Callithrix jacchus: one gene and its partners. The protein of the gene in region 1 interacts with the protein of each later gene in a pairwise test. Links are inferred from orthologs where the notes say so. Each region holds a gene or a part of one and is shown on either strand. Other genes may lie near its edges.

Region 1 (3,710 bases):
ATCACCCTCCAGAACGGCCTTCCCAGACAGACCATGCTTCTCCTGGGATCACCCCTGCTGTAGTTCTATACTCTTGACTGCAGTACTCATGTCTGAGATGATCCAGTCTACTCCTTTCTTTACCTGTTTACTGTTTCTCTCCCATCCCTAGAAAGGTCACTCCAGGAGGGCAGGCACCTGCCTTGTCCACTGCTATGTTCCCCTCTGATCACTCTACATAGCAGACAGCAAGTGCTCAAGAAATACTTGGACAACAAATCAATGAATCCTTAACTGGCCTGGAAACTACTGTTCTTTCAGTACCAGGGGACAATATAGATGAAGGCCTGGAGGCAAGACTGCACACATTTCTCTGAAGACCAAACCTCTGCAGAGCAATGTGCTGGCCTCCTCTGAGTCCTCAAGGCTGACCAACCCCTCAGGTAAGTCCTGAAAGGAGGGCTGTGGCCACAGAGAGCAGGGACAGAGCTCCCTCCTTACTCTGGGGTCCATGGGTATCCCAGGGGTAGCGGGTACCTTGAATTCATCCGAGATCTCTGACATGAAGGAGGAGATCTGTTTCATGAGGCGGTCAATGCTGCTCTCGCTGCCTGTCTTAAGGAGAGTAGTGATGGCCAACGTGGCAATGCTGCGGTTTGAATCTGTGACCAGGTTTTCCAGATCCAGATTGCAAGCTGTCACAGCTGACGGATGCTTCATGGCAACCTGTTTTGGGAGGACAGTGACAGAGAGGGCAGGATCTCAGTGCTGTCACTTCATCTGATGGTTTTGTCCAGTCAGATCATCTCACCATCCAGAAGAAAGTAACCGTGACCAGAGCTACATCTTTCCCAGCCAGGTCAGAGGCAAGGACATACCTCCAGTTGGATTAGACAGCTTCCTCCAACCCTGCACCTGGACTCTTACCTTATTAAGGGTGCGAACAGCAGCATAACGGAGAGCAGCCTTGGGTGAGCTGCAGAAAAGCTGGAGCACTGTAGAGAGATGGATGCCACACGTCAGGTTGCCTTCACTCTGGGCAGCTGGGAAAATTGGGGGCAGCTGTTCTGACTCAAGCCCTCTGCTCAGCTCATTTCCTTGCTGATACCACAACCCCAATCCAAGACAGAGAGCTCTCCTTAACCTGGGCACCTAAGCCATGGACAGAATTCATAATGTCTGTGAGCACCAAGGGGTTCCCGTGAGGGCTGTTATTCACTAGGCATCTGATATGTGCCAGGTGCTGTGCTACATGGTGGACATGCCTTACTTCTATAGCTTGCAGCCCCACTTTACAGATAAGGAGACTAAGGCACAAAGGGGAAAGCAAATAGAATTTAGGTTGGCAGCCCATAAGTGGCAGAACCAGAATTAAATTCCAAGACTGCTGGCAACTGCAGCCTGAGCCCTTAACCTCTGTGAAGATTCCACTCCTCTCTCCTATTGTGTCTTCTGGAGCCAACAGAACGTCCCCCCTCAGCACTGAGTATTGCAGAACAAAGTCCTCTCTTAAATAAATGGTTGATTTCCTTTTACTACATGAGGGCCATTCGGGTACCATATCTCCCTTGCCCTGGCTGCCAGGAAGCTCAGAGCTAAATTTGGCACTCAATCATAGGAGTAAAGATGTGTTTTCTGGAATATCTACGTTCCTTTCTTCATAACTTTGCTTTTATTCCCTAACACTTAAAAAAATTTTTTTTCTTAATGCTTTTTTTTTTTTTTTTTTTTTTTTTTTGGAGACAGAGTTTCACTTGTTACCCAGGCTGGAGTGCAATGGCGTGATCTTGGCTCACCACAACCTCCGCCTCATGGGTTCAAGCAATTCTCCTGCCGCAGCCTCCTGAGTAGCTGGGACTACCAGTGTGCATGCCACCATGCCCAGCTAATTTTTGTATTTTTAGTAGAGACAGGGTTTCGCCATGTTGACCAGGATGGTCTCAATCTCTTGACCTCATGATCCACCCACCTCAGCCTCCCAAAGTGCTGGGATTATAGGTGTGAACCACTGCACCTGGCCTCTTAATGCTTATTTTGAAGACCCTACTTTATTTACATCTTTCATTATTCTGGAAATATGGGGGATATACTAAGAATGAATGAAGGCCGGGCAGTGGCTCACGCCTGTAATCCCAGCACTTTGGGAGGCCGAGGCGGGCGGATCACCTGAAGTCAGCACTTTGAGAGGCTGAGGCAGGTGGATCACAAGGTCATGGGTTCGAGACCAGTCTGGCCAATATGGTGAAACCCCATCTCTACTAAAAATACAAAATTTAGCTGGGCATGGTGTCGGGCACCCGTAATCCCAGCTACTTGGGAAGCTGAGGCAGGAGAATCACTTGAACCCAAGAGGCAGAAGTTGAAGTGAACCAAGATCATGCCACTGCACTCCAGCCTAGGCAACAGAGCGAGACTCCATCTCAAAAAAAAAAAAAAAACAAAACAGCAAACAACAAACATGTTGCCTTCTGAGCAATTTGTCTAGATCCCACATTTTCTGTCTATAAACCCCTATGTAATGGGCATGACCTATCATCCACATCTGAGAAAAGAAAGGGAAACATGGAGAGGATGGGTGGCCTTGCCAGGCTCGCCCAGTTGCTAAGGGGCAGAGCCAAGGCTCTAACACAGGCTGCCCTGCTCCACTGCTGTAGCCAGAGGCTCAGAAAGACCCTCTATACTGTTCTCTCCTTCACCTGGAAAAGCTCAGCTCCAGTTCACAGGCACCAGTTTCATAGATCCCGAGTTCCTCCACCAGGCCTCCTCCTGTGGCCAGCCAACCTGACAGGCTCGAGTGGACCCAAGCCTTACCTCAGCCTCCCTCTTCAGTGGTCCAACAGCCTACCCCCAAAATGTGACACATATGGGGCTCCAGCATAGTGTCTGGGCAGGTGCTTCCTAGGTATGGACTCCTTAACACCAGTCTGTGGCTTGAGAGCATTTTCTTTCTTTCCCCTAGCCCCTGACCCAGGCCTAGTTCCTGGCAAGCATAAACATGTGAGGCTGGGGGAAGGAATGCCTGGTGACCTGACACAGCTGGGGCCAGCTCTTTGGCACTGCAGCCTGGCAGATTGACGATGGCCGAGGCGGCTTCATACACCACCATCTCATGCTTGTTGCGCAAGCAGCTCTCGATGAAATCAAACAGTGGGCTGTCACGGCTACAAAAGAACACAGAGTGACAAGTAAAGGTTGGGGGTGGCCCAGCATGGTAGGGTGAGTGAGGCATCATCTAGCTGGTGAGAGACGAGAGCCATTACCTGCCGTCCTCCTCTTCCAGCTGCTTGCTGGCCACCCGGATCATCATGCAGTAGGCAAAGGGAGACTTAAGGCCATGACGGGTAACCTTGCTGATCATCTTATTGACAGCCAAGCGGTCATTCTTACGCACGTGGTACAGGAGCCCTAGTGCATGGTACTATAGGACAGGGGACAGTAACAGAGTACAGATGTATGACTTTTGGGTATACTGGCCGTGTGGCCCTGGGCAGGCCCTTTAGCCTTCTCAATTCTAAAATGAGCACAGTAGCAGCCAGTACACAGAGTGGCTGTGACAACTGCCCAGGTACTCTAAGTATACAACCCTCCATACAATGCTTCACAAACCACAGGAGTGTATCTGTGGTTCTTGCCCCCACCCCCACTTCGGCAAGAGCCCTAACAAGTAGCATAAATACAAGTACAGAAAGGGACAACAAACAGTACAAAGATGAAAGCAATGTGAGACACCT
Region 2 (4,215 bases), on another chromosome or scaffold:
TACTTCTTCCAAAACAAATTCTAAGCAAAGAAAGTCCCAAAAAGTAGGATATTGAGGCCTACTTTTGGAGTCTCCTCCTGGTTTCTTAAAGGATCTTGTACATTCAGCAGATGTTTGGCATGCTAAGGACTGGTGTGATCTCTAGGGCACACTAATTCTACAGCACCCTGAGTCTATAGCAAAAGCAGGAGTCTTTTTTTAAACAATAATAACAACAGCTACTTTATTTTCCCCATTACACAGATGGGGAAAGTGGGACATCAAGAAGCCAGGTAATGGCCAGGTGCGGTGGCTCACGCCTGTTAAACCCAGCACTTTGGGAGGCCAAGGTGAGTGGATCTCAAGGTCAAGAGATTGAGACCATCCTGGCCAACATGGTGAAACCTCGTCTCTACTAAAAATACAAAAATTAGCTGGCTGTGGTGGTGCACACCTGTGGTCCCAGCTACTTGGGAGGCTGAGGCAGGAGAATCGCTTGAACCCAGAAGGCAGAGGTCGCAGTGAGCCAAGATTGTACCGCTGCACTCCAGCCTGGCGACAGAGTGAGACTCTGTCTCTAAAAAATAAAAAGAAGTCAGGTAACTTCCCCAACATCTCACAGTTGTGAGGCCAAAGCTGGATTTCAGCACTAAGGATGGTCTGACTGCAGACAGGGTGATAGTGAAGATTAAATATCTAAGAAATAATTCCTGGCACATATCCCATAACTAAATTAACATTTTTTATTTGGGAATGGTGAGCCTCTCTCTCTGACTCAGTTTCTTAATCTGTAGGGAGCGAGAACCTTTGGCCTTGCTGATCCACCTCTGACCATCTGCTAGGGCAAGGTATGGTCAGCTCAGTTTTCAGTTTTCTGGATGTGGATTTTGCCACTTAGTACTCAATCTGCAAGCAGATTAGCAGTCTCCCTGCTGGCCGCTGCTGTGGTGAAAAAGCTTATTTGAATATCATAAAAACAAATAAGTTTCAGCTCCAAACAAACAAACAGAAAATCTATTTTTTGAAATGAGGTCTCACTCTGTCACCCAGACTGGAGTCCAGTAGCTCGATCATGGCTCACTGCAGCCTCAACCTCTCAGGCTCAGGTGATCCTCCCACTTCAGCCTCCCAAGTTGCTGGAACTACAGGCACATACCACCACACCTGGCTAATTTTTTTTTTTTTTTTTGTAGAGATGGGGTTTTACCATGTTGCCCAGGCTGGTCTGGCACTCCCGGGCTCAAGCGATCCACCTGCCTGAGTCTCCCAAAGTGCTGGGAGGATCAGCCACTGAAGCTGGCCTTAAATGCACGTCATAGCTAATGCAGATGCTACAGCTCCACAATAATTAATTGTGTAAACAGTAAAAATTTATTTTTGGATTATTTTAGTTTGGTTTGCTCAGGCCATGTTTGCTAGGATAGATGCCAGATAATTGAATGGGAGGTACAGTGAAAACCACCTTGAGCTTCATGTCAAGAAACCTGAGTTTGCCCGTGAAACCTGTAAAATGGGAGAAGTGAAAAAATTAAGTAATAAGTAAAACCTGAGTTTGGATCTGTTAGGATATTAATTCTTGTGACCTCAGGCAACTCACTTAGCTTCTCTACACCTCATTTTCTTCATCTGTGAAATTAAAAGAGTTGGATTATACAGTCTCTAAAATCCCATCTGGTTCTAAATCCTTAGACTCCTTAGACTAAATCCTTAGTGTTTACCAAGCTGTAGAACAAAAGTGGAGGTTTTGAGGAGGTTTAGAGACAAACCCCAAAGAACAAAAGAGTTTGTTTGGGGGTTTAGGGACTAAGACTCCTGAGTCAGAGGCTCAACACTCCACTAACCCATTAGGCAGAACTTTCCCAGGCCCAGGTCCAACTGGCCAGTAGCAGAATGATGAGAAAACAACACTTCAGGGAGCATGAGTAGAAACAGAGGAGACCCCTCACTTCAGGTAGCAGCACCTTGACAAGGCAGGAGGATGAGAAGGACCTCTGGAGGGGTCTAAGCTGAGCTGCCCTGAGTCAGAGATCACCGTGGAGTTTTCTCCTAAGACAGGAGTGTCAGCTGGGTGGGAACTGTGCCCCTCACGGGTGGGGTCAGATGTTACCTTGGCCAGCAGCCGGCGCCCATCATTATCTAGGATGAAAACAGCCTTGATGGTGTAGAGGGAAGGTTCCTGCAACTGACATCAGGGAGAGTTCTGTTTGGCTCCTGATGGATCGATCCATGGGCTGGCCTAGGATACATCCTCAGGCACCAGCAACCCCAGCCCTCAAGGTCCACAGCTCGTTCTACCCAACCCTGTGCCACATGGGCCAACGCAGGTGCCCACTCCCAGACAGATGTTCCACTGCAGGCCCTAGTGGGGGCTGTGCCCGTTGGGTGCAGAAGGTCCTTCCGGGCCCAAGTTCTGTCATGCACTGACTACTCCAGAGCCCGAGTCGGAGTGTATCACAGAACCTGGGCCGGGGGGGACAGCGGGCCGAGCCTCCTCCTTCCAGCTGATCCCTGGCCGGGCTGGACCTGCGCTCTCAGCGTGCTCCCAGGCCCTGGCCCGTGTGGGCTCCAGAAGCATGCCCATCACCCACCGGCGATGGGAGCCGAGTCTGGGACAGACAGACCACTCCTTACCCTCCCCGCGGAATCGCAACTCACCCGCCACCCCCGCTCCAAATGGACCCAAAACTTCAGCCCCGTCAGGACAGGCCTCCTCACCGCCGGGACGAACTTTTTCTCCCCGGGTCTGGGGCCGGTCAAGGGGTGACACAAAGTTCCCAGCCACTGGGCGCGAGTTCTGAGTTGGCTGCTCCCCGACCCTGCTCCGTCCCGGCCCAGCTCCCGCCGCCCGGGACCCCCGCGCCCGCCCGCTCCATACCCGAAGCCCCGAGGGCTCCCCAGCTTGAGCAGGCGGCGCTGGGTCCCCGGCCTGGGCCGCCGCGGCCCCCTCCCCCAGGTGCGGACGTGGCCAGGCCTCGGGCCGCTGCATTCCACTCGCCGCCTCGCACTGACAGCGCCGCCCGCCGCCTGCCCACTGCCGCCGCCCCGCCTCCACGCCCGCCCTACGGCCCCTTCTCACGCGTGGCCTTCCTTGCCTCGGGGCCCAGTCCTCAGGCTCGTTCTCCTTGCTCTCCCCTCCCGCCCTCACCCCCACCCTCCCCTTCCTCCACCTCTCCTCTCCCTCTCTCTTCCTTGGCTCCTTCCGTTACAGCCCTGAACTCTGCATCCTGAGAGTACCCCAAGACCAGCCGTCGTCCCGCTTCCTGCCTGCACTCCGGTCTGTGGCTTTGGTGTGCACCGGTGTCTATAGGCTGTCCTGGGTTCAGCAGCAAACACAAGCAAAGCCCACTTTTGTCTGTTGAGCCCTGGTAGGTACCATGGGAACAAATAGGTCACCCTTTGGATCTCAGGGACAGGGTCTGTCAGCGAGAGCAGATGAGGATAGTTCTGGGAACACCCCTCTGTGGAGAAGAAGCTTTCCCATTCGTCTCTCACTACTTGCAGAAGGGAACCAAAGTCCTGGAGACACCACCCCAGGCTCTCCTAAGACACAGATGTGGCACCGTCAGAAGCAAGCCAGACGCCCAACAGCACAAATGCTCCACCAATGACATCGGGTTTTGCAGCATGTTTTGGTTTCTTTGGTCTAAGTGTACCAAAGACAAGATCTCATTTCAGGGTATACTGGCCAGAGGGAAATTCACACCCGGGTGATATATATGTTACTGTTATGTATGCATTTACAGGTAACAAGACTGTGCATGCATTTTACATTTGACACTTTCACATATATTATCTAATATAGCCCACACCTGTGAGGTAGGCATGATGGACCCCCATTTTAAGGAAAGAGAGACTCAGAGGTTGTGTGACCTTTTCAAGACTGTACAGCTAGTTGACTGGGGATAGAACCCAGGTTTTTTACTCAAAATTTCTTCCCTATTCTCTTCAAGCCCTCTTATGTTGTGGACCACAGTTACTCACCGTAGATGGTTACAGAATGGGGCTTTCCTCACTGAATGCATCAAGCCTTCTCGACTTCAAGCCTCCGCTGAAATGTCATTACCAAAAGGTCCTCCTGACAGCCACCATATCTGACGTGATAGGTCTCTCCTGTCACATTCTCTATCTCAGAGATATAGAGATATCTTTGCACTTTCCTTCATTGCACTTTCTCAATGTCTAAATATTATTTTTACTAATTTTTTTGTTTGAGACAGTGTCTCTCTCTCTTGCCCA
Region 3 (4,458 bases), on another chromosome or scaffold:
AGATTATAGGCATGAACCACTGCACCTGGCCACAAGTGCTTGTTTCTACTTGAAAATCACAGACCCAGCCGGGCGTGGTGGCTCACGCCTGTAATCCAAGCGCTTTGGAGGCCAAGGCGGGCGGATCACCTGAGGTCGGGAGTTCAAGACCAGCCTGACCAATGTGATGAAACCCCCATCTTTATTAAAAAAAAAAGAAAAAAAAAAAAAAGGAAAGAAAATCGCAGAGCCTATTCCTATACTCTCCCTTATTCTTTTTTTTTTTGAGACCGAGTCTTGCCCTGTCTCCAGGCTGGAGGGCAGTGCTTTGATCTCGGCTCACTGTAACTTCCGCCTCCTGGTTCAAGCGATTCCCTTGCCTCAGCCTCCGGAGTAGCTAGGACTACAGGAGCACGCCACCACGCCCAGCTAATTTTAATTTAATTTAATTTTTTTTTTTTTTTTTTTTTTTTTTTTGAGACGGAGTTTCGCTCTTGTTACACAGGCTGAAGTGCAATGGCGATCTCGGCTCACCGCAACCTCCGCCTCCTGGGTTCAGGCAATTCTCTTGCCTCAGCCTCCTGAGTAGCTGGGATTACAGGCATGTGCCACCATGCCCAGCTAATTTTTTGTATTTTTAGTAGAGACGGGGTTTCACCATGTTGACCAGGATGGTCTCGGTCTCTTGACCTCGTGATCCACCCGCCTCGGCCTCCTAAAGTGCTGGGATTACAGGCTTGAGCCACCGTGCATGGCCTTTTTTTTTTAAGACGGAGTCTTGCCCCACCTACCCTCCCTTATTCTAATCCCGTTTCCCCTTTGCCCCCAAACCCCATCTCCAAAGGTGTAACATCTGATTTCACTCTGGGCCAAAGTTGGCTTTTACAAACTCCGACTTCTTATGTTCCTCAGGCCCAGCAAAGCCTGGAATTCCACCTTAGGGAGCTTATCATTGCGCCTATCAACTCCTGACAGCCTTGGTTTATGTAGATAACATGTTGGGCCTTTTTTGGCTATATTCTATGGTTGTGCAGACTCTGTGAGGATGCTGAAGTGACCTGAGCGAGCCTGAGGGAAAGGCTAGCCACACAGATCATGCACCTAATGGGGGCGCTGAAAATAGGGATTAGGGCAAGATTCCAGTTAGGAAGCGCCAGTGTTAAAGGCTAAGGAGATACAGCGCCCCCTAAAGAGAGTGCGATTAAAAGTCGCTAAATCAGGCCGACAATATCACGTGTCCTCGGCCTTACCAATTGAAAATTAACAATCGCTTCCTCTGTTCCCCATGGAAACAACCCCGCCCCACTGACCCTCCCTCCCCAATCAGTCGTGAGGTTTTGCCATTTTATTGAGTATTGAGGCTGTCAATCAAAAATTTGCGCCTTCTGGTTGGACAATTTGCTTCCGCTAAGCAAACTATTACGTAATTGGTCAATAGAGAGATGCCTGGCTTAGCTTTACCCAATGATCCTTGTTCTAGGCGGGGCCTAATGGGGACGTATGGCCAATCAGCGGCGGCGTTGCTTTTGTGGCTCCACGTCGGCACCAGCTGCGGGGCAAGATGGAGGCGCTGATTTTGGTAGGAGCTGGAGGGGCAGCAGAGATGCTGTGGTGTCCACAGGGACCGGGAGTCAGGGTTCATCCCGAGTGGGAGACGGGGAAGGAGAGTTCCGGGTAATTCTTGGGGACTGAAAGTTCTGCTGGCCCCTGAAATAAGTGTGTGGCCTACTATAGGAGCTAAAGCCTTAGTTTAGAGTAGGAAGCTTTGCCGGGGAGAGGGTATAGAGTCGGTGGAAAGTTAAGGGCAGCACATGGACTCCTTAGGATGCATAGGCTATAAGCGTACTAGATTAGGACCCTTCAGGTTGCCCCTTATTTTTTAGCATTGTGGATGATATCCTGATTTGAATTTACCCAAACCACCAAACTCGCACCGTGTTGTAAGAAAAGAATACAAATGTTTTGTCATTACAGGCTCCTCCTGATGGTTTTCCAAGTTTGACTGTGCATACTCTCCATTGCTGATTCCCTGCCACATTCCTTCAGGAAACTTCTTTTCGGTTTCCTGGTAATCCTTACTATATAGGTTTGTCATGATAAAGAATCAGTATTCCATCGAAGCTCTGGGATACCTGATAAAGTTAGTATGGATTACTATGGATTGTGGAATATTTATTCTAGACTCCTTATTCTGTTCTCCTTTTCTCTCCCCATTTAGACCTTAGGAATTCCTTTTTTTTTTTTTTGAGACCGAGTCTTGCTCTGTCTCCCAGGCTTGAAGGCAGTGGCGCTATCTCAGCTCACTGAAGCCTCCACTTCCTGGTTTCAAGCAGTTCTGCCTCAGCTTCCCAAGTAGCTGGGTCTAGAGGCGCATGCCTCCACGCCCAGCTAATTTTTTTGTGTTTTAGTAGAGACGGGGTTTCACCTTGTTGCCAAGGCTGGTCTCGAACTCATGAGCTCAGGCAATCTGCCTCCGCCTCCAGAGTGCTAGGATTCCAGGCGTGAGCCACTGCAAGGCTGGAGTGCAGTGGTGCAGTCTCAGCTCACTGCAATCTCTGCATCCTGGGTTCAGGCAATTCCCTTGCCTCAGCCTCCCGAGTAGATGGGACTACAGGCAGGTACCACCACACCTGGATAATTTTTTGTTTTTTAGTAGAGACGGGGTTTCACCATGTTGGCCAGGATGGTCTCAATCTTCTGATGTCATAATTTGCCCGCCTCAGCCTCCCAAAGTGCTGGGATTACAGGCGTGAGCCACCACGCCCGGCCAGCAAGTATTTTTAATCAAGTACTAGGTTGAGGGCGATGGCTCATGCCTGTAATCCCAGCACTATGAGAGGCTGAGGCAGGAGAATCGTTTGAGCCCAGGAGTTTGAGGCTGCAGTGAACTATGGTTGTGCCACTGCACTCCAGCCTGGCATGACAGAGCCAGACCCTGTCTCTAAAAAAATAAAAATAAAAAACCTCCCCCCAAACCCAATTAACAGACTAGGATAGATTCTAGGGAATTGGTTTCTTTAGAAGCTTTTTAGATCATGAGGAAGATAATACTTGGGGAGCCCTTTTAACAATGGGTCTATGTGTAGTGGGTATAATATGTGAACGTCTGTTGGGCCAGGCACGGTGTAATTCCACGCTTTTAATTCCAGGACTTTGGGAGGCCTAGGTGGGCAGATCATGAGGTCAAGAGATCGAGACCATCCTGGTCAACATGGTGAAACCCCGTCTTTACTAAAAGTACAAAAATTAGCTGGCCATGGTGGCGGGTGCCTGTAATCCCACCTACTGGAGAGGCTGAGGCAGGAGAATCACTTGAACGCGGGAGGTGGAGGTTGCAGTGAGCCGAGATCTTGCCACTGCACTCCAGCCTGGCAACAGCCAGACTGCGTCTCAAAAAAGAAAGTCTCTCTGTCACATTTCTCTTCCCTTAGTTCTTTGTCTCTGCTTCCTCAGTGAAGTCTGTTTCAGGCTGCCTCTTTCTTATTCTTCTACTTTAATCTATGCCTAATATGCTGCATTCACAGATCCGGTTAACTTGGTCAGGTAACCCTGGACTTTGCTTTTAAAACCACACTGATTCTTTGTTATGGGAAACCAGTGTAATGAGGTTAGGGGCAATCTGTTCAAAGCATATTCTTCATTCACAGATTCCTGCTAACTTGGTCAGGTAACCCTGGACTTTGCTTTTGAAACTACACTGAATTCTTTTTCATAGGAAACTCTACATAATGAGGTTAGGGGCAATCTGTTCAAAGCATATTCTTCTGTCCTTACCTCCTCTACAAGTACATACATAGCTGCAGGATGTTGAGAAAAAGGGAAGGGTAAGCTACAGGGGGTCAAGAAGAACTGTTGATCAAAGTTTGCATTGACTGGAATTTTAAATAACCGTTAAGTTCCTTTCATTTAGGTACTTTACAGTGGGTTCCATTTCTTTCTTGAATTAAGTAATCCAGCTCTAGTTTTCAAGCAGATTTGTCTAATCTCTCTCGGGTCTCCTTAGTCTCTAAGGAAAGAGACCTTTTCATCTCCTTTAGTTCCCAGTGCTTAATAATAGTGATCTCAGCCTGCATCTTTGGACTTGGCTTCTTCTTTCTTGCTGTTTCTGCTTGTTCTCCCTTTTTGAGTTGTGAATGGAGAGGATCTCTGTAGGTCCCCACTCTCCATTAATAACCTATGGAATCTTAAAGATAAGGATTTACCCTTCCTTTTTCACTTTTTTCCTCCTTTCCTTTTTACTTTTTTTCTTTAAAGCTGAATTACTCGGCCAGGCTCAGTGGCTTAGGTCTGTAATCCCAGCACTTGGGCGGGCAGATCACCTGAGGTTAGGAGTTCAAGGCCAGCCTGACCAACATGGTGAAACACCGTCTCTACTAAAAATACAAAATACAAAATTAGCTGGGCCTGGTGGGACGCCCCTGTAATCCCAGCTCCACAGGAGGTTGAAGCAAGAGAATCACTTGAACCTGAGAGGTGGAG

What was found.
Region 2: the proteins of COPG1 (region 1) and COPZ2 interact in a two-hybrid assay, tested with the Homo sapiens proteins (2 studies listed by BioGRID). The link is inferred for Callithrix jacchus from reciprocal best matches to the Homo sapiens genes COPG1 and COPZ2.
Region 3: the proteins of COPG1 (region 1) and COPZ1 interact in a two-hybrid assay, tested with the Homo sapiens proteins (2 studies listed by BioGRID). The link is inferred for Callithrix jacchus from reciprocal best matches to the Homo sapiens genes COPG1 and COPZ1.

Annotation. Positions count from the first base shown.
Region 1 is NC_133516.1:72,865,623-72,869,332, forward strand, and holds part of COPG1 (coatomer subunit gamma-1), read right to left. Parts: intron 3,398-3,710; coding exon 3,240-3,397; intron 3,141-3,239; coding exon 3,007-3,140; intron 975-3,006; coding exon 907-974; intron 706-906; coding exon 517-705; intron 1-516. UniProt on the Homo sapiens protein: The coatomer is a cytosolic protein complex that binds to dilysine motifs and reversibly associates with Golgi non-clathrin-coated vesicles, which further mediate biosynthetic protein transport from the ER, via the Golgi up to the trans Golgi network.
Region 2 is NC_133506.1:118,251,497-118,255,711, reverse strand, and holds the start of COPZ2 (coatomer subunit zeta-2), read right to left. Parts: upstream 2,986-4,215; 5' UTR 2,966-2,985; coding exon 2,855-2,965; intron 2,725-2,854; exon of another isoform or gene 2,635-2,724; intron 2,162-2,634; coding exon 2,087-2,161; intron 1-2,086. UniProt on the Homo sapiens protein: The coatomer is a cytosolic protein complex that binds to dilysine motifs and reversibly associates with Golgi non-clathrin-coated vesicles, which further mediate biosynthetic protein transport from the ER, via the Golgi up to the trans Golgi network.
Region 3 is NC_133510.1:65,223,595-65,228,052, reverse strand, and holds the start of COPZ1 (coatomer subunit zeta-1), read left to right. Parts: upstream 1-1,507; 5' UTR 1,508-1,540; coding exon 1,541-1,558; intron 1,559-4,458. UniProt on the Homo sapiens protein: The coatomer is a cytosolic protein complex that binds to dilysine motifs and reversibly associates with Golgi non-clathrin-coated vesicles, which further mediate biosynthetic protein transport from the ER, via the Golgi up to the trans Golgi network.